Drosophila melanogaster: one gene and its partners. The protein of the gene in region 1 interacts with the protein of each later gene in a pairwise test. Each region holds a gene or a part of one and is shown on either strand. Other genes may lie near its edges.

Region 1 (4,575 bases):
AGATCGACTCGGCTAGTGGCCCTGACCAAGAATACAGATACTTTATGTAGGCGCTTCCTTCTGACATTCTATTTTACACATTGATAAAGATATTGAAATTAAAAAAACATCAAACAAAATGTAGGCTTTAGAGTAGACGTGGCTAAATTATTGTTTAGCATATCGATAGAGACTCTACTAGTAAGTAGGTACGCAAGAAAAATCAAATATCATGAGTGCAAAATTTAATGGTTATATGCATTTGTTGCAGCCCAGACACTACGCTAAATAATATAAATTAAGGTATTTTCACACATTCCAGGAAAATCAGATTCGTCACCTTTACAATGCGCCATGAAATTTTTGGCACACGCAATAGGAATGACAAAAAGGCGATTCAAGAATATGCCCCTTTGAAGAAGCCCAGCACACTGGATGCCGGCACTACAATAATGGAAATTGTGGTGGAAGGGGAAATAGATTCGTTGATGCGTGTGACTTCAAAAATCCAAAAAACGTGTCGGACAGGATGTTGAGAGCAAGTAAGCTCAGTGGTGGCTTTTTGGGGTGGTTTAGGTTTTGAATGCTGTTACTTGGGGGTTTAATTTCTGTAAATAATAGATATCGAAAATGTAAATACAAGCAGAAGTAGCAGAACAGACAATTTATGTATTTACATATTTAATATTTTGTATAGATATACAACAAAAAATTTACAAATACTAAATACTCTTTAAAGTTAACAATACAAACTTCATCTCAAGCCCAAGTCACGCAGATCACGCTACAGGTAAGGCAAGGCATTTTGAACTCCTGATACTGTTTGACCTTCCTGAATACGTTTTTATTGCTGTTCAATTTTAAATTTAAATTAAAACTAATAAAATGCACTCATAGTTTTTATATGTGAATGTATTTTTGTATATTAACACAACCGACATCAGAAATATAATAATACTTAACGTAAAGATGGGGAATTGATACAGGGCAATAAATAACTAGTCGTTCTATACTTTTTTAAAACAAAGGTATGGCAAACGATTAGATTGTATGTTATTCAGAATGATCAGATTCTTAAACTTTTGGATACATGGTTATATAATCAAATATTTTAGGGATTAAGTGCATTAAACATGATAAAATATCATCACAACCAAACATATGCATACAATGATGAATAAGACTTACACATATACACAACCATCTATGTTTATATAAATTCAGTTTTATTTTCCAGCGTTATTATCGCTGAATCCATAATGTTAAAGTTGCCCACGATATATTTAACAACCAACCAAAACTTCAAAAAGATTTTCAAGCGGATAGGGTACACTTTTCTTTCTTCCATAGCCGTCTCTTTCCTACGCAACTCCTATTTGCCAGATGTGCGCACGATGGATTTTGTTGTAATGCCTCTCTTCCTCATGTCTCTATAGCTATCTCTTTTCACGGCACGGAAAACAGCAACGTTGTTAGCTATCGCTGACTGCAAATGAAAAGAGACAACTAGAGCAACGCCGCCAAAATGGCTGGCCGATGTGTTAGCCGTTGCTCTTGCCAGTGTTTTTTCGCATGAGAGCTCATTAACGTTTCGCTTGGCTAAGTGCGCACCTCGTCACTGAAACCAGTTAGCAAAAGAAATTTTTGTTCAAGCTTAAACCGATACCTACGTCACTATTCGATCATTTTGAATGCAAATTATTCCCAGATTAATAAACTAGGTCGCCATCCGTGGCGCTGCCGCCGGGCTGCGGACCCGTACTTTCGACGGAAAATATCGGGACCATTTTCATAAACGATCTATGATACAGTTTTAAAACACTTTAACGCTTTCCATCGTGCACACTTAAAACAAAACTCATAAAGTGAAAGTTCATATCCTGGCAAGTAAAAAGTGATAAATGTTAAAACGTCTGAAGTGATAGTCTGGAGTTTGATTACCAGGTGAAGAAGATAATATATATGGGATGTACAAAGTTGGCAACGAAGCCCCCCTTCTAACAACAATGAAAAAGGGAGTAATCCTACTTTCTCACTTTCAATAATAAACATACGCACGTCAGCCACCGTCGAAGTCTCCAACGCCGCATTAAAAATAATTAATTATGATGCTAACAACTGAACACATAATGCATGGGCATCCCCACTCGTCAGTCGGGCAGAGTACTCTATTTGGGTGCTCCACGGCGGGCCATAGCGGAATAAATCAGCTGGGCGGCGTATATGTTAATGGCCGGCCACTGCCCGATTCAACGCGTCAAAAAATTGTCGAATTGGCTCATTCCGGCGCACGTCCTTGTGATATTTCAAGAATACTACAAGTGTCCAACGGTTGCGTAAGCAAAATTTTGGGCAGGTGAGGCATTTCGAGTGCATAATGACATTTTCTTAACTAAACAGGAACTACGAAAGTAGCCTCCAACAAACAAACTGCTCAGCTAAAATTTCTGACTTCGGACTTTATTATATAAGCACTGCGTTTAAACCAGGGAGTGATATTAAATTTGGAAAATATGAAAGATTCGATTATTATACCCGTTACTCAAAGAGTCAAAAGGTATATTAGATTTGTTGAAAAGTATGCAACAGGAAGAAGGATGCGTTCCCGACCATATGAAGTATGTATATATTCCGTCTGTCCGTATGAATGTCTCGATCTCAGGAACTATAAAAGCTAGATGGTTGGAATTAGGCATACTGATTGTAGAGATATGGACGTAGCGCAAGTTTGTTGACCCATATTGCCAACACTTTTAAAAAAAGTGTTGATTTTTAATCGTTTTATTGTTTGTCTTCTATCGGTATACCAAAAACACTTTCGCCACACCCCTTCTTACACCAACAAAACGCAAAAAACGGATCCCAGAAAAATAACACAATTTTGCTTTCGTATTTAGTCGTATAGTCGGGGAATTCGACTATAGCATTCTCTCTGTTTTTGGTAAGTTAATGGCCTTACTAACGTTTCAGTAGTTTCTATATGCATAAGATCCGAATGCCTCCTAGTCTATTTCGTATCAACTAACCAATGATCGTAAGACTGCGTATGATTAAAGAGAACTTGCTTAGCATCTGTTTTGCGAGTAGCCAAATTTGTTTGTTGGAAGAACCTCTTTACGGCGTTATTGGTGTCCGTATTGCAAGTGCTGTCCATTGTACAACACTAACAAATACATTTCTCCCCTGGCTTCTAATTAATACTTATGTTATTTTGTTTAGCATATATTCTATATTCAATCCTATATGCCATTCGCAAAATATTTATATACCGGCTGCATTTAACTAATTTAATGTCTACAACTGAAAGTGTTGACTGTTGACGCTGAGGTTTGCTTATAGTTTTTATTATCTCGACGCTAAACATTTCGACGGCGTTTAGCATTGTCACCACTAATGAATCGCTGCGCTTTTCTTTTTACAAGTTGCAGCTCGCATTTACAAGCACTGCACTCCGAATTGTTTTTTTGTGCTCATCTAACATTTTGGAAAGAGGATTTTTCAATCAATACTAGAGGAATGTCCTTTTTTACTTTACTATAAGCACTGCTCTTCCCGAGAATATTTACGGCTTTCGACTACTAAGTTACATAATTGGAACTAATCAGATATTAGCAGTTCTATTATAAATACTTTAGAGTAAGAAAATCAATGATTTTCGTAATATGAAAATTTGAAATCAGGCCCCCATCCCAATCTCTCATTGTGTGACTCTGATTATTGAAACACATTCACCATTTATGATCATAATACATAAAAATCAAAATCATATCTTAAGAAGAACGTATTTTTAAATTCTCTGTTCTTTGCAAAATAAGAAAATATACAGCCAAATCTAAATTGATTGTATATTCATTGTTTATTCTATTATCTACTTTTAATGACTACTCAGATAAAATGTAAATAAGTTTATTTTTTTTAGATATTATGAAACTGGATCGATAAAACCTCGAGCTATAGGTGGTTCAAAGCCACGAGTAGCTACAACCCCGGTTGTGCAAAAAATTGCAGATTACAAACGGGAATGTCCCAGCATATTTGCGTGGGAAATACGAGATCGACTGCTATCGGAACAAGTTTGCAATAGTGATAACATTCCAAGTGTAAGTTATATTTTGCGCACATAATAATATTTCTGCACGTGCTAATAAAAGTTCTAACATACCATTTTAAGCGTTTTCGATCCTTAAAAATATATATGTATATTCATGATCAGGATCTAGGACCAGTCCGTACCTCTCTTTCTGTCTTACGTTAAAAATTTTAGAAGTTTAAAGCTGAAAGATTGTTTCAAACTAACTTTCTAATAGAGCCTTATAGCTTTAAGCTATTTATAGTTGTTTTCCTGTTCTCTTAAAAACTCTGATCTGACTAATAAAAGTTCTAACATACCATTTTAAGCGTTTTCGATCCTTAAAAATATATATGTATATTCATGATCAGGATGGATCTAGGACCAGTCTGTACCTCTCTTTCTGTCTTAAGTTAAAAATTTTAGAAGTTTAAAGCTGGAAGATTGTTTCAAACGAATTTTCTAATAGAGCCTTATAGCTTTAAGCTATTTATAGTTGTTTTCCTGTTCTCTTAAAAACTCTGATT
Region 2 (5,514 bases), on another chromosome or scaffold:
TGTTGGTGAAGTGAACATCGTTGCTGATTTGGTAGGTTACCTGCTCCTTCTCGTCCTCGCCCTCCGCCGGCTGCTCAGAATCGTCCTCTGAAAATGAATAAGTTGGTTAACAATCGAATTTCATAATGGGCCCACCCAGTTAATACATTAAACGTATAATAAATATGGTAATAAAAAATGGTTTTTTTTATTAGCCAATTGAAATAAATCCGTTGACTTATTCGTCCATTATTGAACTTTCAAAGGAAAACTAATTCCCGTTGATTACGTTTATCATGTCTGGCTCCACATTTACCCCTCACCCACTTTCAGTGGCATTCTACTGCCCACCTGGCATTGGACTCAATGGCACGGCATTGGCATGATTTCATTATCAAGGTGTTGACCTACGGAAATTAAGCGTCCAAGGAAAAACCTTCGAAATTCGTGCGCTCAAGGCTGGACCTTGGCGATGTCATTGCTCCCGCGCTGTTGGCCCCGTTGCCAATGTCAATGTGCCGATGGCATTGCCTTCGGCCAATGTCAATGTCGCTCCCAAAGCTATTGAAGCGGCGGAAGGTGTGCGCAGCCTCCAAGGTCGTTTCCGTAAACAAACTGGTTGCTTGGCAGGTACCAGCTGTTTCCCGGCGAATTGCTTGTAAACAAGCAAAGCCGGCAAGCGGCAAAACAGCTGTTAGCACTTATCGCCCTGCCGCGACTTTCGACTCATAGTTATCGAAGTGAATCATATGTGCTGACGTCATGCGCAGAAACCCGTTTTTATACCCTCTAATGCAGTACACTGATTTTACAATGCAGTTGGTATTTACTAACATGAATTATTGCTATCCTTCTGATTTTACGATTAATTCTGAATGCACTTTTTAGCAATATCGTAATATAAAAAATAATCCTATTTTTGTAATTGAATTTAAATTTTAAAAACTGTATGAATTTGTGATGCTTGAAAATTTTTCATACAAGTTGCTAGTGACATGGTAAGGTATTCCAGCTTCGACTTCCAAGCCAAAAAATATTTCTTATTGGAATTCAAACATCTGCCAAATTGATTTTTAAAAAACTGGTTGCGTATTCAGCTAGCAAACCCATAAATGACTCAATGTAACCATATGGAACTAATATTTTGAACTTATAACAAAAAGATTGCCTGAAAAGCTTGCCAACTTTCTTATCTTCGCCAAAAAGACGCCATTTTGTGCAGGTACCATTTTTTCACCCTAGATTTGCCAACGGGACAGGAATTCTTATTTTACCTTTAATGCAATTGCGTTGGACGTAAAGCGCCTGCACCTGGGGATCCGAGAGGAACTTCCGGATGGTGTCCTGGTTGACGGGATCGTCCAGAGCATCGTTCAGCGATGCGGGAACCACATCGTCCTCCGGCAGCAAAATGGTCACCGCCTTCCGAAGATAATTGGCAAATGCATCATAGTTCGCAATGGACAGGTTCACGATTGGATCCACCGATGTATCGGGGTTCTCCAAGGAGTCACCCATGTCCCACAAAGGTTTTCGGTATTAAATACTCCTCAAAAGGTGTACAATTTAATTTTTCACAATGCCTCGCCCTGTGAAAAATTACGTGAGTTTTTTTTTTCGCAAAATGTAAACGGCCCTGCCACTCAGTTGAAAATCGAAAGCAAAAAAGCCAGTGCTACCATAGTTGCGGCAGATATCAGAATACAGAACTGGGCGAAATGTTACCAGTCAGTCAGGAATGCTTCCCGCCAAAATTTCTTAGAGCAATTCCCATCCACGTGAGCGATGTGGCAACTCGATGCAGAGAAACAGCTGTTCGATTGTAGAGTGCAGTGGGTTCTTCCTATTTTGTTATTCAATAATTGTGAAATGTGCAATTCAATCAATTAAACCGGTATAATGCAAGCACTGAGAAGAACACGACCTTGGGGAGCTGTCTACTGGAATAGCTGGCGGCGCCTGCTAACCCAAAGCTGCACCCGGAATGATGTGGGTGCATAATATATCCGAGAAACGCAATAAGACCTTTGTTAAATTCCAGAATCCAGAGCTAACCAGTGATGTCAAGCACCGGATTGAGGCTCATTGGCGGGAGCAGCTCAGTGGAGGACAGTTCAATCCCAAGGACTCGCAGGACAAGTACTACGTGCTCTCCATGTTCCCGTATCCCTCCGGCAATCTTCACATGGGCCATGTGCGCGTCTATACCATAGCCGATTCGGTGGCTCGTTTCCAGCGAATGTGCGGCAAGAATGTGTTTCAGCCAATGGGTTGGGATTCCTTTGGGCTGCCCGCCGAGAACGCCGCCAATCAGCGTGGGGTGGAGCCCGCGTCCTGGACGGAGCAGAACATTGCCCAGATGAAGGAACAACTCAAGCGACTTGGTTGCTCCTTTGACTGGAACCATGAATTGTCCACCTGCAGTCCAAAATACTACAAGTGGACGCAGCATCTGTTCCTAATGCTCCATCGCCATGGATTGGCCTACCAGAACGAGGCTCTTGTTAACTGGGATCCCGTTGATAAGACCGTGCTCGCAGATGAGCAGGTGGACGCCAACGGCTGTTCCTGGCGGTCGGGCGCCAAGGTGGAAAAGAAGCTTTTGAGGCAGTGGTTTATCCGAACGAGTGCTTATGCCAAACAATTGCTAGACGGTTTGGAGGATCCCACGCTTCGCGACTGGAGGGATATTATTAACCTGCAGCGACACTGGATTGGAGAGTGTGATGGATACGCTTTCAACCTGCTCACCTCCGCCTCCGGACTTTTACGAGTGTGGACTACCCATCCGGAGCATTTAAAAGATCCCCATGCCTTTCTCGTGCTCCGCAGCAATCATCACTTGTCAAAGCTAAAGGGTGCGGACAGCCTAAGCGCAGCGAACCCGTTTGCGGGCACCACAATGCCTGTGGTCTTTAGCGACGAAGTGACATTTCCGCCAAAGAGCGATGTTTACCTGGCAGCCCCCAGCTTCCGTGGCGAAGACAAGGATTTGTGGGATTCATATGGACTGGCTTTTACTTCAAATGGCAAGGATGAGGAATCCCTAAGTCCAGCCAACTGGGAAATGTTAAGGAAAGAGGTGCTCCAGGCAGCCACACGCCTTAATGTTGGCGGCTATCGTGTATCCTCAAAGCTGAAGGATTGGTTGATATCACGACAGCGCTATTGGGGCACTCCCATTCCTATTGTACACTGTCAAAAGTGCGGAGCAGTGCCAGTGCCGGAGGAGCAGCTGCCAGTGTCTCTGCCTCCGAAGGATTCCCCGAAGGAAGCGTTTCTCTGTGATTGCCCAAAATGCGGTGAGAAGGATGCACGAAGGGAGACGGATACAATGGATACATTTGTGGACAGCTCTTGGTACTACTTGCGTTACTTGGACGCCCAAAATTCCGAACGCATTTTCGATACAGCGCTGACCAAGAAGTTTATGCCTGTGGATCTGTACATAGGAGGCAAGGAACATGCCGTGCTCCATCTTTACTACGCCCGCTTTATAAACCACTTCCTGCACAGTTGCGGGCTTTCGCCCACTAGCGAACCCTTTTCCCGGCTGCTAGTCCAGGGCATGGTGATGGGTCGCTCCTTCCGGGTGAAGGGCAGTGGACGTTATGTGCCCGAAACAGAAGTGGAGATTGTGAACGCCAAAAAGAACCAGGCGGTGCTAAAGGAAACCAAAGAGCCCGTGGTCATGACCTGGGAAAAGATGTCTAAGTCAAAGCTGAATGGGGTGGAGCCTAGCGACATGTTTAATGAGTATGGAACGGATACAACGAGACTGATCATATTGGCCGATGTGGCGCCCACATCCCACCGCAACTGGTCCAGTGCAAGTGAGTATTAAGTTGTATATGATATGATAGCCATTTGATATATCTGTGTATACGACAGCTTTTCCTGGCATCCTTAATTGGCAAAAGCGGCTTTGGCTGACCCTGCAGGACTTCCAACAGGCTCGCGAAGATCAAACTGCTTCGGATGTTGTACCCACCAGTGAAGAGTTCCTGGCTGAGGATGCCAAGCTGTTCGATGCGCGAAACTTTTATGTGAAAGGAGCCACCTTTAACTACCGCCATGCACAGCAACTCAGTGTGGCAATTTCCAAAATGCAGGGGCTAACGAATTCTCTCAGGGTAAGGCTTAAAACTAAATCCGTTTTCTAATCTCAGCTTATGCAAAAATATTTTAGCGCACACCTAAGCATGTCCTGCGACATGGAAAACAGTTTGAACGTGCGCTGGCTGCCCAGATCATCATGCTCGCGCCAATGGCTCCGCACTTTGCCTCCGAACTGTGGTCAAAGTTTGTGGCGATACCAGGCAGGCTAAATCCCGCCAGTCAGGAGTTACAGTGGAGCGAAGATGTGCTTGCTCAGCGCTGGCCAGACATCGACCCCGCCTACAATCTGGACCTTAGCATTAAAGTCAATGGATTTGAGAACTGTGTAATCAAAGTGCAGAGAACGCATCTGGATAAGGTAACGCACAGTGATGCTCTCGACATTGCCTTCAACACCGAATCGGTGACATCGTACCTAATTGACAAGAAAATTCGCACCACCAATTTTGTGCTTTACCCGGGAATCGAGGCTATTCTGAATATCTATGTGGATAAGGCGAAAATGAAGCAAAAGCCGCCGACCACCGATGATGCAGAAGCTCAGCCTCAGGCGTAGGATAAGGAAAAAGTATCGTGAAAGTGGATAGATAAAGTTGAGTAGTAAAAGTTTGGTTGCTACTTTTTAGGATATTCTTGCGATCATAGTTCTTAAGCCGAACGGATTACGGAGGAGAGTGGGTTCAACCTGCCCAAATGCATTTCCGGTGTTGGCCAGAAAGGCGCCATCCTAGATTGGTACTTTTTAATCATGTTTAATGTTAAATATTTATAAAAATTGGACTAGTTGTAAGCAGCTGCTTTACAGGATTGGTAAATGCCTAGAATCATAGGAATATAATGGTTGCTCTACCTGTGCGCCTCTATCTAAAAGCCAGATCGACTAATAATTTCATAAATTTTCATTTGTTGGAACGGCCTCTCACTTCAACAGCTCGCACATGAGATTCCGCAGGTAGACATCTAGCTGGGCGTAATCCAGCAGCGTATTTCGGACGATATCAAGAAGCATACTTGGCCAAAGAGTTTCCAGTTTATGCAGCTTCTCCACGGCGTTGCAAGTGTTCTCCAGCAGAAGGGCAAAGTGCTGGCGACCTCGATCTCGGACACTGGGCGCCATGGCAGTGCTTCCCGCTTCCGTCCCTTGATTTATATTCATTGAGGTGGAAGTTCCTGCTCCACCACCAGCGTTCTTCTTCCACTGGAGTGCCTCTTTTCCCACCACGAGTCGCAGGGACTTGTTGTCCGGCCGTAGGAGCCACTCTTTAGGAGACAGTTTGCTGGCCGTGCAGGTTTCATCCAGACGCAGTCTCGCCAAAAGCGGTTGCAGCATTACCTCGGGCATGGACCACAGAACCAGGTCAGAGAGTCCAACGTACATGGCATTCGCAGCCTCCACTTCCGCTTCGGTTACCTCCT
Region 3 (4,970 bases), on another chromosome or scaffold:
AGGATCCGGCGGTGGAGCGGGCAGCGGCCACCGCTGAGCTGCTGGCGCACCAGCTGGAGGAGAACGAGGCCAAGCGGAAGGCGGAAATTGAGCGGCAGAAGATCGCGGCGGCGGCCTGCGAGCAGCTGACGAAGCTGCAGCAGCAGCAGGAGATCATCAAGGCGACCACCTCGTACGATGGCTACTATGCGCAGAAAGCGCAATCCGAGGGCACCAGCCTGGATGCCCTGAAGATCGACCACGTCTAGGCAGCAGGATTGGCTTTACTTTACTAGCATATATGCATCATAACCTAGCCACATCCATATGTATCCACTTCCAATGCAGCTGACACTGTCCGGAAAAGTTGTAGGCATGCCTCGAATTGCTCTCTAGCTGGATCAGATTGTAGGTTTATAGGCACTCCAGATTATTCGAGTGCATATTACAATATGAACACTTCATACTTTTTACGTACTACGTTTATACATACATGCAATATATGTATTATTTTGTTTTCCGTGTAATATCTCCCGTGCTTACTTAGAGTAATGGATTAAAAGTAATATTCATAACGCCATTGGAGTTTCCATCTGGTGGGCGGGACTAAGAGACCACTTTGCAATACCAGTGATTTTTACAAATATATTTTAATAACAAAAAACAAATTTTTTAGCCCGCAAGAACATTAATCAAACCTTAATTTAATTAAAATAAGTCATTTTTAGCTGAAATCCATCTGGATGGTTATGCTGAATTTTATTTCATATATTCCGTTCTTTAAATTTAGACAAATAAAGATGATAATTGATTTTTAATCGAATATTAAGAAACATTTTGCTGAACGAAATGATGTGAAAGGGGGATTTTACTGGAAAAGTTTCTATTCTGCATCCACGTCGAAATCTTCGGATGACCCTTCATTGTCTGAAGGATTATTTGACTCCTAAAACAAATTGGTTAATCTTATGTAATACATCTTTAAAACTTAGTTGATGACTTAACTGTCCAGTTATTACCATCCGTCTGATTCAAATCCATCAAACTTGAGATAATTATCTTAGCTGCCTTCCTGTTTTTGTTGGCCTTCTTCAATGCTATACTCTGCTTCTCCAGGACCTCCTCCAACTCTGCGATCTCCAGTTTAAGCCTATTTCTTCTATTCCCGGCATGTTGCAGTGCCAGTTCAGTGTCCAATACCTTAACTTCAGCTTCGAGAGCTTTTACGGAATCCTTGTCTGGTTGTTGCTCCATTTTTTTTTGTATACTCTTACTCAGCATGACAAATAATAATAAAGCTGCTATAGAAACAATTGATACAACCATATTTATAGACATACCAACGATTTAAGGTATTTTGAAAATCCTTAAAAAATTTATATTTGTTTAAAAATGTATTTAATATTTAAACTAAGACATATGTATTTTTTATTTTAAATTCTCAGACTCTTTGTATTGTATTGATCTAGTGCTAGTATTGTGCTCGTAGCTGTCCGGCAGTCTCACTCGACTGTGTGACTTGACTACGAATACACACACTCGCTGGGTCTAATACGCCCATCGTACCCTCTCCGCTGCGCACATGCATGTGAATGGGAAAAACAAAACAAAACGCCTGAGTGTGGGTGGCGAGTGCTAGAGCTGCGCAGTTTTTCAGCGAGCGTACTCGTCGCTTGCGGGTAATCGATAACCCGAATTGCTGACGAGTGCACACACACACGCACACGCGAGTACACACAAATGTGTGTTGTATTGGATTTTTTTCTCGGCGAAAGAACATTTCGAATTGCTGTGGTTTTCGCGATTTCTGGCTTTCGGGATCGTCCAGCATCGAATTGAGTGTCCAAAATGAATGAGGAGAGCCAGTACTCCATACACACGGTGTGCCGCACCTGCCTGTCCACGGTGGACGACTCGGCGGCCTACGATCTGTTCCGAGTGCCCGGTCTGGCCAAAAAGCTGTGCGTGTGCACCTCCTTGTCCGTGGAGCAGGCGGATGGCTTTCCCAAGAACCTGTGCAATGTCTGCTTCTCCAAGCTGAACGACCTGCACGACTTTCAGAAGCAGTGCGTCGATTCCGTTCAAAAGTTCCAAGATCTGGTGGCCAGCAACGCGTTCGCCTGCCAAACAAACTTCGATGTTCTGGACACCAGTGCCGCTGTGGCGGATCTGCCGGGCGAGGAAGAGGACAACGTGCACTTCGATCCGCTGCTCAACTCCAAGATCGAGATCATTGAGAACGAGGAGGACGTCTTCAAGATGCTCGAGTCCGTCGAAAAGGAGGTCGAAGAGGTGGAGATGGAGATGGAACAGCCGTTTGGCCGAGTATCTCAGGATGACTCCTTCGAGAGCGGCAACGACAACGACCTCGACGCAGACTTCCAAATCAGTAGTGACGACGACATTCCACTGGCCCAGCGCAGCCGGCGTGGAGCCACTCGTGGTTCCAAGGCGAAGGGCAAGCCGAAGTCGGCTGCCAAGCGACAGGAGGAGGAATCCGAGGAGTCCGAGGAGACCAGCTCATCAGACGACTCCGATGGCAATCCGAAGGACAAGCCCAAACGCAAGAGGATTCCTGCTACGGAGCGGGATCGCCACCGCCTGATTGACTGCCACATCTGCCACCAGAAGTTCAAGAAGGCGATTCGCTACGAGGAGCACATGAAGCATCACAACGACTTGCTACCCTTCCAGTGCACCGTCGAGAGTTGCCGAAAAGGTAAACTCCGCCCGCAGATCCTCGAGAAGTAGATTTATGTGATTATTTTTCCAATTTCAGGCTTTACCACCGCCAATGGACTGCGCGTCCATGTGGAGCACGCCCACACGGAGACATCGGCTATGCATCCGTGCACCTACGAGGGCTGCAACAAGTCCTTTGCCCGGCCCGTGCTGCTCAGCTTCCACATGAAACGCGTGCACAAGGTGGACACCCCGCAGAGGGACTTCCCCTGCACGGAGTGCGAGAAGGTCTTCCGCTGCCCCACTGCCCTCAAGAAGCACATGTACAAGCACACGGGCGAGGAGCTGCCCTTCGCATGTGAAATTTGCGGCAAGCGCTTCCCCATCAATAGTGTGCTGCGCGACCATCTGCTGCGCCATGCGGGCATCAAGAACCATGTGTGCCCGTACTGCGGAGTGGGCAAGACGACGCGCCAGGAGTGGAACAAGCACATCCTTACCCACACGAAGGAGAAGAAGTACGAGTGCCGGCAGTGCGACCACGCCTCCCACAACAAACAGGCGCTGGCCAACCACGTGAAGGTGGTGCACGAGAAGCGCAAGGACTTTGCCTGCCAGTACTGCGGAAAGACCTTTGGCAAGTCGCACGCCTGCAAGATTCACGAGAGAAGTCATACCGGCGAAAAGTGCTGCGAGTGCAAGATCTGCGGCAAGGTGTTCCTCTTCGAGAAGGGCCTAACCAAGCATTTGAAGACGCACGAGAAGCGTGATTTGCCCAAGACGCAGGGGACCAATGCCTTAATGGGCGACGGGGCCAGTGGATCCTCGACAATAGCCAAGCCCAGTCCGCACCTGCGTGGTCGCGTCGAGCGGGTGGACATTGCTCAGTTGGCGGGAACGGTGGCCAATCCAATTCCATCGGTCAACCTGCCCTCGTGGTCGCCGCAAGTGAACTTCACCAAGAAGGAGGGCCAGCATATCTGCCCGGACTGCGGCAAGGGCTTCAATCACGTGAGCAACATGAAGCTGCACTACAAGGTGGTGCATCAAAAGGTCAAAGACTTCTGCTGCCGCTTCTGCCCGAAGAGATTCGCCAAGAAGCAGTACCTGCGGCACCACGAGTACATACACACTGGCGAAAAGCCTTACGAGTGCAAGGTGTGCGGCAAGCATTTCCGGCAGGAGCAGGTGCTCAAGACGCATATGAAGGTGCACGACAAGCCGCCCCGTCCGCCTGGCAAGCCCAAGGAGCCGGCTGGACCCAAGGCGGAGTCCAGCACCGCGGTGAAGCGCCAGCAGCCGAAGAATTTCGAGCAATACCAGGATCCGGCGGCGGAAAGGGCAGCGGCCACCGCCGAGCTGCTGGCCTACCAGATCGAGGAGAACGAGGCCAAGCGCAAGGCGGAGGCGGAGCTCCGGAAGATCCAGGAGGCTGCCTTCGAGCAGCTAAACAAGCTGCAGAAGCAGTCGAACACTTACGACGGCTTCTACGCGCAGAAGGCGGAGGCGGAGGGCACCTCAGTGGACGCACTGAAGTTGGATCATGTTTGAGCGGCAGAATCAAACGGAAATGCTTGCGAGCAAACCCGGCCTCCGTTTCCGATCATTTCATTATGTGTTTCTATGAAGGACATATGAGTTATAGTTCTCTAAGGATTACCAACTAGTTTTCGTCACTTTGCAATTTGATCTTTTTTGTATTTAAATCCCCCCTTTAAACTGCTTAAGTTTGTACTTTACTAATTGTATTCATTTAACAATGATTTAATATAATAAACAGTAATAAGTATTGAACATTTGAATTTTAAATTCGCCCCAGTGCTGGTAAGCGGGTATTGTTGGTAAACAAGACAGAGGTGAGCTGTAATGCTGCCAACTCGTCTGTTTTTTAGCTACATTCCACTAGCTATGCAACTTATATGAGACACATATAAAACTACGTATTTAATTTAGGTTAATACATACATTTATTAAGAATCACACTTAAAATGGCACATATTTTTTAAAACATTTGAAATTTGTTATTGATGCTATCCATATTTCTAGCCGGTTTAATAATTTAGCTATTAAATAACTGTTTGTACTTGGCATCACTGTGGGGTATTTTTTGGTATTTGTTTTGGTTCGTCTGACGCGTAAAGTTTTTCTCGGCTTAATATTCCGCGGATTTGGCCAGCAGATTCCCCCTGGAACAGGCATCATGCAGGAGGAGGCCGAGGCAGCCCAGTACTCGGTGCACGCGGTGTGCCGCATCTGCCTGAATCGCCTGCCGGAGAATGGCGGCGGCGCAGGATCCTTTGACCTGTTCC
Region 4 (5,987 bases), on another chromosome or scaffold:
GGATCCGGCACCGGATAAATATTACCCTTGACCATATGCTGTTTTTCCTTGGTCAGCAGCAGATACTCTCCACGGAAAGGCACGATGCGGGGGTCTCTGGGGCATCCAGTCTTCTCAGCCAGCAGGTCGGATTGCAAACCGCCACAGGTTAATACGTTCTTGGTACGAACCGTTTGACCGGGCTTAGCGCCATGGATGGTCACTGGGTAGTCGGTGCCCTCCTTGGTCTCGGTAAACTTGCTGACATTGAAGTCCAGGTAGATATCACCACCGCACTGTTTGAAATCCTGACCATAATGCTCGGTAACCAATCCCCAGTCAACGATACCAGTGTGCGGACTGTGGAGCGCCATCACTCCCTGGCAGTAGGGTTCGATCTCCTGAATCTCGCTGCCTTCGATCATTCGCAGATCCGGTACGTTGTTGGCAATGCCACGCTTCTCCAAATCCTTCAGCAGCTTCACTTCTTTCTCATCCGTGGCCACAATTAGCTTCCCGGTTTTCTTGTACGGGATCTTTTTTTCATCCAGATAAGCGTAGGCCAAATGCATGCCCTCCACGCAAAGGCGGGCTTTCAGGGTTCCAGGCTTATAGTAGATGCCAGCATGGATGACGCCGGAGTTGTGGCCGCTCTGGTGCTTTGCCAGCTTGCACTCCTTCTCCAGGACAGCCACTTTGAGGGATGGATGGCGCAGGACAATCTCCCGGGCAGATGCGGCGCCGACGATGCCACCACCAACGACAACCAGATCATAATCTCTGAGGGAATACAAAACATATCAGCTAACAGCCTCAAAAATTAAATAAACTTAAGACTTCTAAAGTTTTTAAAAGTTAGAAAGATGTTTGTATATCCGTTAGAGTAAAGAGTGTGCGGGCACGTTTTTGATTAGGATCATCAGTCAAGTCGATCTAGCCATATCAATATGTTCATCGACTGTCAGACCGCAAGAACGTCGAGATCTTGGGAACTAATAAGTAAGATAAAGGCTGCAGATTGCAGTGAAAAGACTATGCTATGCAATTAAGAATACAAAAGTAAATAGAATATACATTGCTTAACTAAACATGATTTTAAAAGCGCATTCTAAATGAAAAGAAGCTTACTTAGCTCATTTGGAACACCTAAATGATATTCTGCAAACAGTGAAAAGATTCTTAGGATCGGAACACCCCCGAAAATGAGAGAACCCTATCGTAATCTCAAGAGACTTACCCGCAGCTCGACGAGCTGTGCTGCGATCTTTTGTGGGTCGCTGTGGATTCGTTGGGCGCGGCCACGCCCACATTGAGTAGGCTACGCCGAAGTCCCTGTACCAGCAGTCGCACCTGAGCCATTTCTCTTTCTTTTATGCTTTCACCACCCGCGCACGCACGTAGAATTTAGATTATTTACCAACCCGAAAAGAAAGACCTTGCTTGACCTTGCCTTCTCCTCCGCCAACTTGTGCGTACAGCGCGCTTTCGAGCGAATCGACAGACTGAAGCCCGTGGAAGTTTTCCGTGGGGCGAGAGAAAATAAATATGCTCACGGGCCGAGCATCTGGGCGATTTGTGGGGCCGAGGGGCGATCATAAACGCGCTAATTGATAAGTGTGACGGATTATTTTTGAAAGGGGGTGGTTGGGTAAGGACGTGTGTGTCAGCTGTTCGGTTTGTTGATAAGATTTAATGTGCCCAGCTGCCATTTTGCAAATTTTCTGTAATCTAACAATATTAAAATTTTTATTTCATTTTAAATATTTCAGGTTATACGATCATGCTGATTACTCGACTAAAAAGTATTTACAAGAAACAAACATATAATTTTAACCCTAAATTTGCTTTTATTCGATACGGAATCCCATTATATTTGGTCGTATTTGATAGCAAACACAAATGAATAAAGTTTCGTTATTAATTCAGAACTGCAAGAAAAAAGACCGCTATCAACAATATGTGAGACGCATTTTCCAACACTGAACACTTCAGAAGCAAAACAAAACCAGCTGATTTAGCAAACAACAGCTAGCTCACAGATGTAAACAACAGAAATTTGCAAATTATTACAAATTATTGTACCATAAATACCTTAAGATGCCCGCCCACTGCGCCGTGATAAATTGCAGCCATAAGTATGTGCACGCGGGCAGCATTTCATTTCACAGGTAAGTGAGTTGATTTTCAATTGACAAGATTACACTATAGCTTCTATTCTCCCAAAGATTTCCATTCAAACGGAAGGATCTTCTACAGAAATGGAAGGAATTTACCCAGAGGAGTGCTCAGTGGATGCCCTCAAAATGGAGTGCGCTGTGCAGTCGGCACTTTGGTGATGAGGACTTTAATTGCAGCAATAATCGGAAAACGCTTAAGAAAAATGCTGTGCCATCAATTAGGGTTTCGGAAGATGACTCCATGAGTGGGCACTTGGAACAGGTGTCCCCAAGCAATAGGCCAACGCACAAGCAAACTCTTTCTAGTGCCGCCGAATCAGCAGCAACAGGTGTTAAAGCCACTTGCCGCTTTTGTGGTTCCTCGGCCATCAATTGCTCCTCGTTTGACAAGAGTTTTGAGCTCTTTGGCATGATCCAGAAGTGCTTTCCTACGCTACAGATTCTTCAGGACGACACCTTGCCCAAGGAAATATGCCAGGAGTGCTGCCTCCAATTGGAGCGCTTTTCCCAGTTCATCGATGTGGTGATGTTGGCGCAGAGTGAATTGCAAAGAAAATACCGCCGACAACTGAAAATCAAACAGGAACCCTTGGTTCGTGTGAAACAGGAGGCCTGCGAGAGCTTGGACAATCTTTTTCCTGATGAACTGGACATGGGTTTGGAGCAGGACGATGGCTGCGATCAGGAAGAAACTGAACAAAAGTTTCAGTTCTGCGAGTTCCCTATGCTAAATGCCCAAGACATTATCAACAATTGTGATATCATGGAGATAATCAATCTGGACGATCCGTTTATCAATATTCCAGACGATGCGGATGTGGGACAGTCGGAGAGACTACAGCCTGGAAGAACGGCTAATGAAATGCTGCAAAACGAACTCCTAACCGAAGAGCACAATTATGCGAAGGAGGAGTGGCAACTACCCCCGCATCAGTACAAAACGGAAAAGGTGGAGGGAACGGATGCTGCGCCAGACGCAGCTCCTCCGCCTGCTGATCCCCCTCCTCTTCAGGATAATATAGACCCTCCCTCGGCCCCCGAACCGCGCTCATGCAAGCCCATTGTGACCAATGTAAGCCAGATACCTAACCCAATGATCTGCGAGCTGCTGCCACAGCCTGCTCCTCCCACGTCGATCAAACCCAACATCGTGGTACTTAACGATAGTGTGGTCGAATCCTCAGCGGCTTTTCGGCTTCACAACTGCACTTTGTGCACTGCCAAATTTATAACAATAGATAGCTTAAATCAGCATTATGCACACAGTCACAGTAATTCCACTCCCATGGTTAGTGTTCCTCCGATGAATATATGCCTTCCCAGCTTAACCATGAACCCTCCAATGAAAATGGAAAGCAACAGAGGTCTTGTGGCCACTGAACAATCCGAATACTGGCCGTTGGAGTGGCATAATAGTCCTGTATCCAAGCAACCTAGGAAAAAGATTGATATACTAGATATGCAGAGTAGTTTCCTGCATCACAAAGACCTTATACCGACAGCCACTCAACTGTCAGCACCCGCACCTGATCCTCAACTGGTTGCAGTGACTGCTAGCTACGCTAAACTGGCTAACAGGTATCGTAAGTTGCAGCTGAAATGCAAAAAACTGAAGTCACCAAGGAAGGTGCACAGAAAAACCTATGTGTGCCGGATGTGCAGGAAGGGATTTTCAAAGTTTAAGAACTTACACCACCACCGTCGTCAGAAAGCACACTTTGTAAAGTTAATACCCAATTTTTCAGGACGCTGTTCTGGTTGCCTAAAGTTTTTTCGATCCCGCTTGGGTCTTCGCCAGCATATGCGATACATATGTCAATCGTTGTCGCTCAAAAACCATCGGCGCCTTCAGAGCTTCAAGTGTCGCCACTGCCAGGCCATCGCCTTTGCCCACTGGCGCCTGTATCGTCGTCATGAACTCAATTGCAGGCCCAAAAAATCCAAAACTAAGGTGCAGACGGCAATGAATTCGAAAAAGAAAGTTACGCCCACCCAAGTATTTGAGTGTAATATTTGTAAAAAATCATTCGGTTCGCTCAACGGACTACGCCAGCATAACATCACCCACTCGACGGAGCGGCAACACAAGTGCGGCATCTGTGAGCGGGTCTTCAAGCGACGCAACGGATTGTCTCAACACATTAAGGGCTACCACCTGCAGCTCAAGCCGCATGAGTGTCCGGTTTGCCAGCATCGCTACGCCCTGAAATGCGATATGCTGAGGTGCAGGCATTCCCTGCGAAAAGGTCCAGCTGCCGGGGAGTAACAGGAAGCCCTGGAGATGACTCACGATTGGACAAGGAAATGGTATTTACTCAAGCAAATGCTATAATCTTGGAGGTAAAACCAATTTGTTTTCTAAAAAACAATGTGCGATAACACGCCACTACAATTTTCTTTCCACAGATGATCTGAATCTCGATGCACTAAATGCATTAAGCCTAGTCACTCTATGGGGTACTTAGTTGGTGGTCTTCCAGTACGGCACGCAAGGTGATGAAGGGTTCGCAGCGGGAATGAAATTGGCGCTAGTCAAGGTTACTTACAATAAGTAATTTAACCTAATTAAACCGACGCTTCATTGAGCAGGAACGAGGTTTCGCAAATCGGAACAACATTTTTGAAAAGGTTGAAAGGGGGAAAACTAAAGGCGATCTTAAATATTTTGTATTATATACATTTATTTATTTAAATTGCAGTATAAGTTTGTAGTAAACGTTCTCTAAAAGTACGTGTATTTTCTTGTGTATTCGTATTTAACGCATTAGTATTGCTTAAATCGCTAACTTTAAACGTGAAATACTGAATCGAAACTTATTGTTTTACTTTAGGCTGATCCAAGCAAAAAACTAAGATTGACTGCCAACATAGGATTAGTATATACAAAGAAGGTTGAATTTCACAAGTTTATTTGCTTAATATAACTATCAATTTTATTTTTAACAAAACTAAAACGAAGAACATAAAAATGGCACTAAAAGTACAAAATCATAAAGTAAAAAGCATACATTTTGGAGAACCCTCAAGGATAAACGTAATTCAACAATGAAATTTTGCGCAACACCAAACAATAAAGTAGTTCTTAATCTAAAACATTTTAAACTTAACTAAAGGTTAACTATAAATACGCTTTTGGTATGATCGTTATTAATGTACGTATGTATGCATATGTCCCTGGCTAGAGTGGCTCAGTTTGGTTGGTTTTAAAAAAATATATATTAGAAATTGAACGTTATATTTTGTTACTTGATAAGTTGTGATGGGTACTTCAAAGATCCAAAACAAACATTAGTCAAAGATAACATTCAATTCCCAAGATGTTTTTGCCAGCAAATCGAGTTTTTATATGTATGGGGCGATAAGTATGAATATAATTAGAGTATGTGATGCTTGAAAAATGCTTGTACGAAGCGTATCCTCTTCTCCCGGGATTAGTTCCACATTCGATTAACCTACGCCAGATAATTACTCGCTAGACTAAGGGCGAACCTAAGTCCTCTACTGGAAGATCGCTGCCCGCTGCTGGAACTGCTGACGCCGCTGGGCCCGCTCCTCCTCCTCTCGCCGGCGCTCCTCCTGCTCCGCCCGAATCTCGTCGTGGAACTTGTTCGTCCGCAGCTGTTGCTCAATTTTCGCCTCGAAGAAGTTCTTGGCTCCGCTCACTCCCACCTGCTCCACATCGACCTCCGTGAGGCGGGCCAGCTGATTCAGCCCAGAATCGGAGTCCAGTTCCCCGGCCTGGGCCTTCCTGAAGATCAGCAAGAACTCTCGGAATGAAATCTTGCCATCGTTATCCTCGTCCACCTCGGCAATCATCTGCTTGAGTCCCAG

Evidence for each region.
Region 2: the proteins of toy (region 1) and LeuRS-m interact in a two-hybrid assay, tested with the Drosophila melanogaster proteins (one large-scale study listed by BioGRID).
Region 3: the proteins of toy (region 1) and D19B interact in a two-hybrid assay, tested with the Drosophila melanogaster proteins (one large-scale study listed by BioGRID).
Region 4: the proteins of toy (region 1) and CG10431 interact in a two-hybrid assay, tested with the Drosophila melanogaster proteins (one large-scale study listed by BioGRID).

What each region holds. Positions count from the first base shown.
Region 1 is NC_004353.4:988,168-992,742, forward strand, and holds the start of toy (twin of eyeless), read left to right. Parts: upstream 1-1,557; 5' UTR 1,558-2,084; coding exon 2,085-2,335; intron 2,336-3,898; coding exon 3,899-4,079; intron 4,080-4,575.
Region 2 is NT_037436.4:4,824,075-4,829,588, forward strand, and holds LeuRS-m (Leucyl-tRNA synthetase, mitochondrial), read left to right. Parts: upstream 1-1,778; 5' UTR 1,779-1,878; coding exon 1,879-1,968; intron 1,969-2,020; coding exon 2,021-3,812; intron 3,813-3,870; coding exon 3,871-4,112; intron 4,113-4,168; coding exon 4,169-4,654; 3' UTR 4,655-4,964; downstream 4,965-5,514. Other genes in the region: Dhc64C (dynein heavy chain 64C), read right to left, coding at 1-87, 1,254-1,497; CG13708 (uncharacterized protein), read right to left, coding at 5,018-5,514.
Region 3 is NT_037436.4:6,181,659-6,186,628, reverse strand, and holds D19B (D19B), read left to right. Parts: upstream 1-1,708; 5' UTR 1,709-1,827; coding exon 1,828-2,698; intron 2,699-2,758; coding exon 2,759-4,212; 3' UTR 4,213-4,453; downstream 4,454-4,970. Other genes in the region: D19A, read left to right, coding at 1-248; CG43293 (uncharacterized protein), read right to left, coding at 863-925, 985-1,233; CG10274 (uncharacterized protein), read left to right, coding at 4,862-4,970.
Region 4 is NT_033779.5:18,972,701-18,978,687, forward strand, and holds CG10431 (uncharacterized protein), read left to right. Parts: upstream 1-2,009; 5' UTR 2,010-2,076; coding exon 2,077-2,147; intron 2,148-2,204; coding exon 2,205-4,422; 3' UTR 4,423-4,496; intron 4,497-4,562; 3' UTR 4,563-5,487; downstream 5,488-5,987. Other genes in the region: L2HGDH (L-2-hydroxyglutarate dehydrogenase), read right to left, coding at 1-759, 1,217-1,338; Swip-1 (Swiprosin-1), read right to left, coding at 5,655-5,987.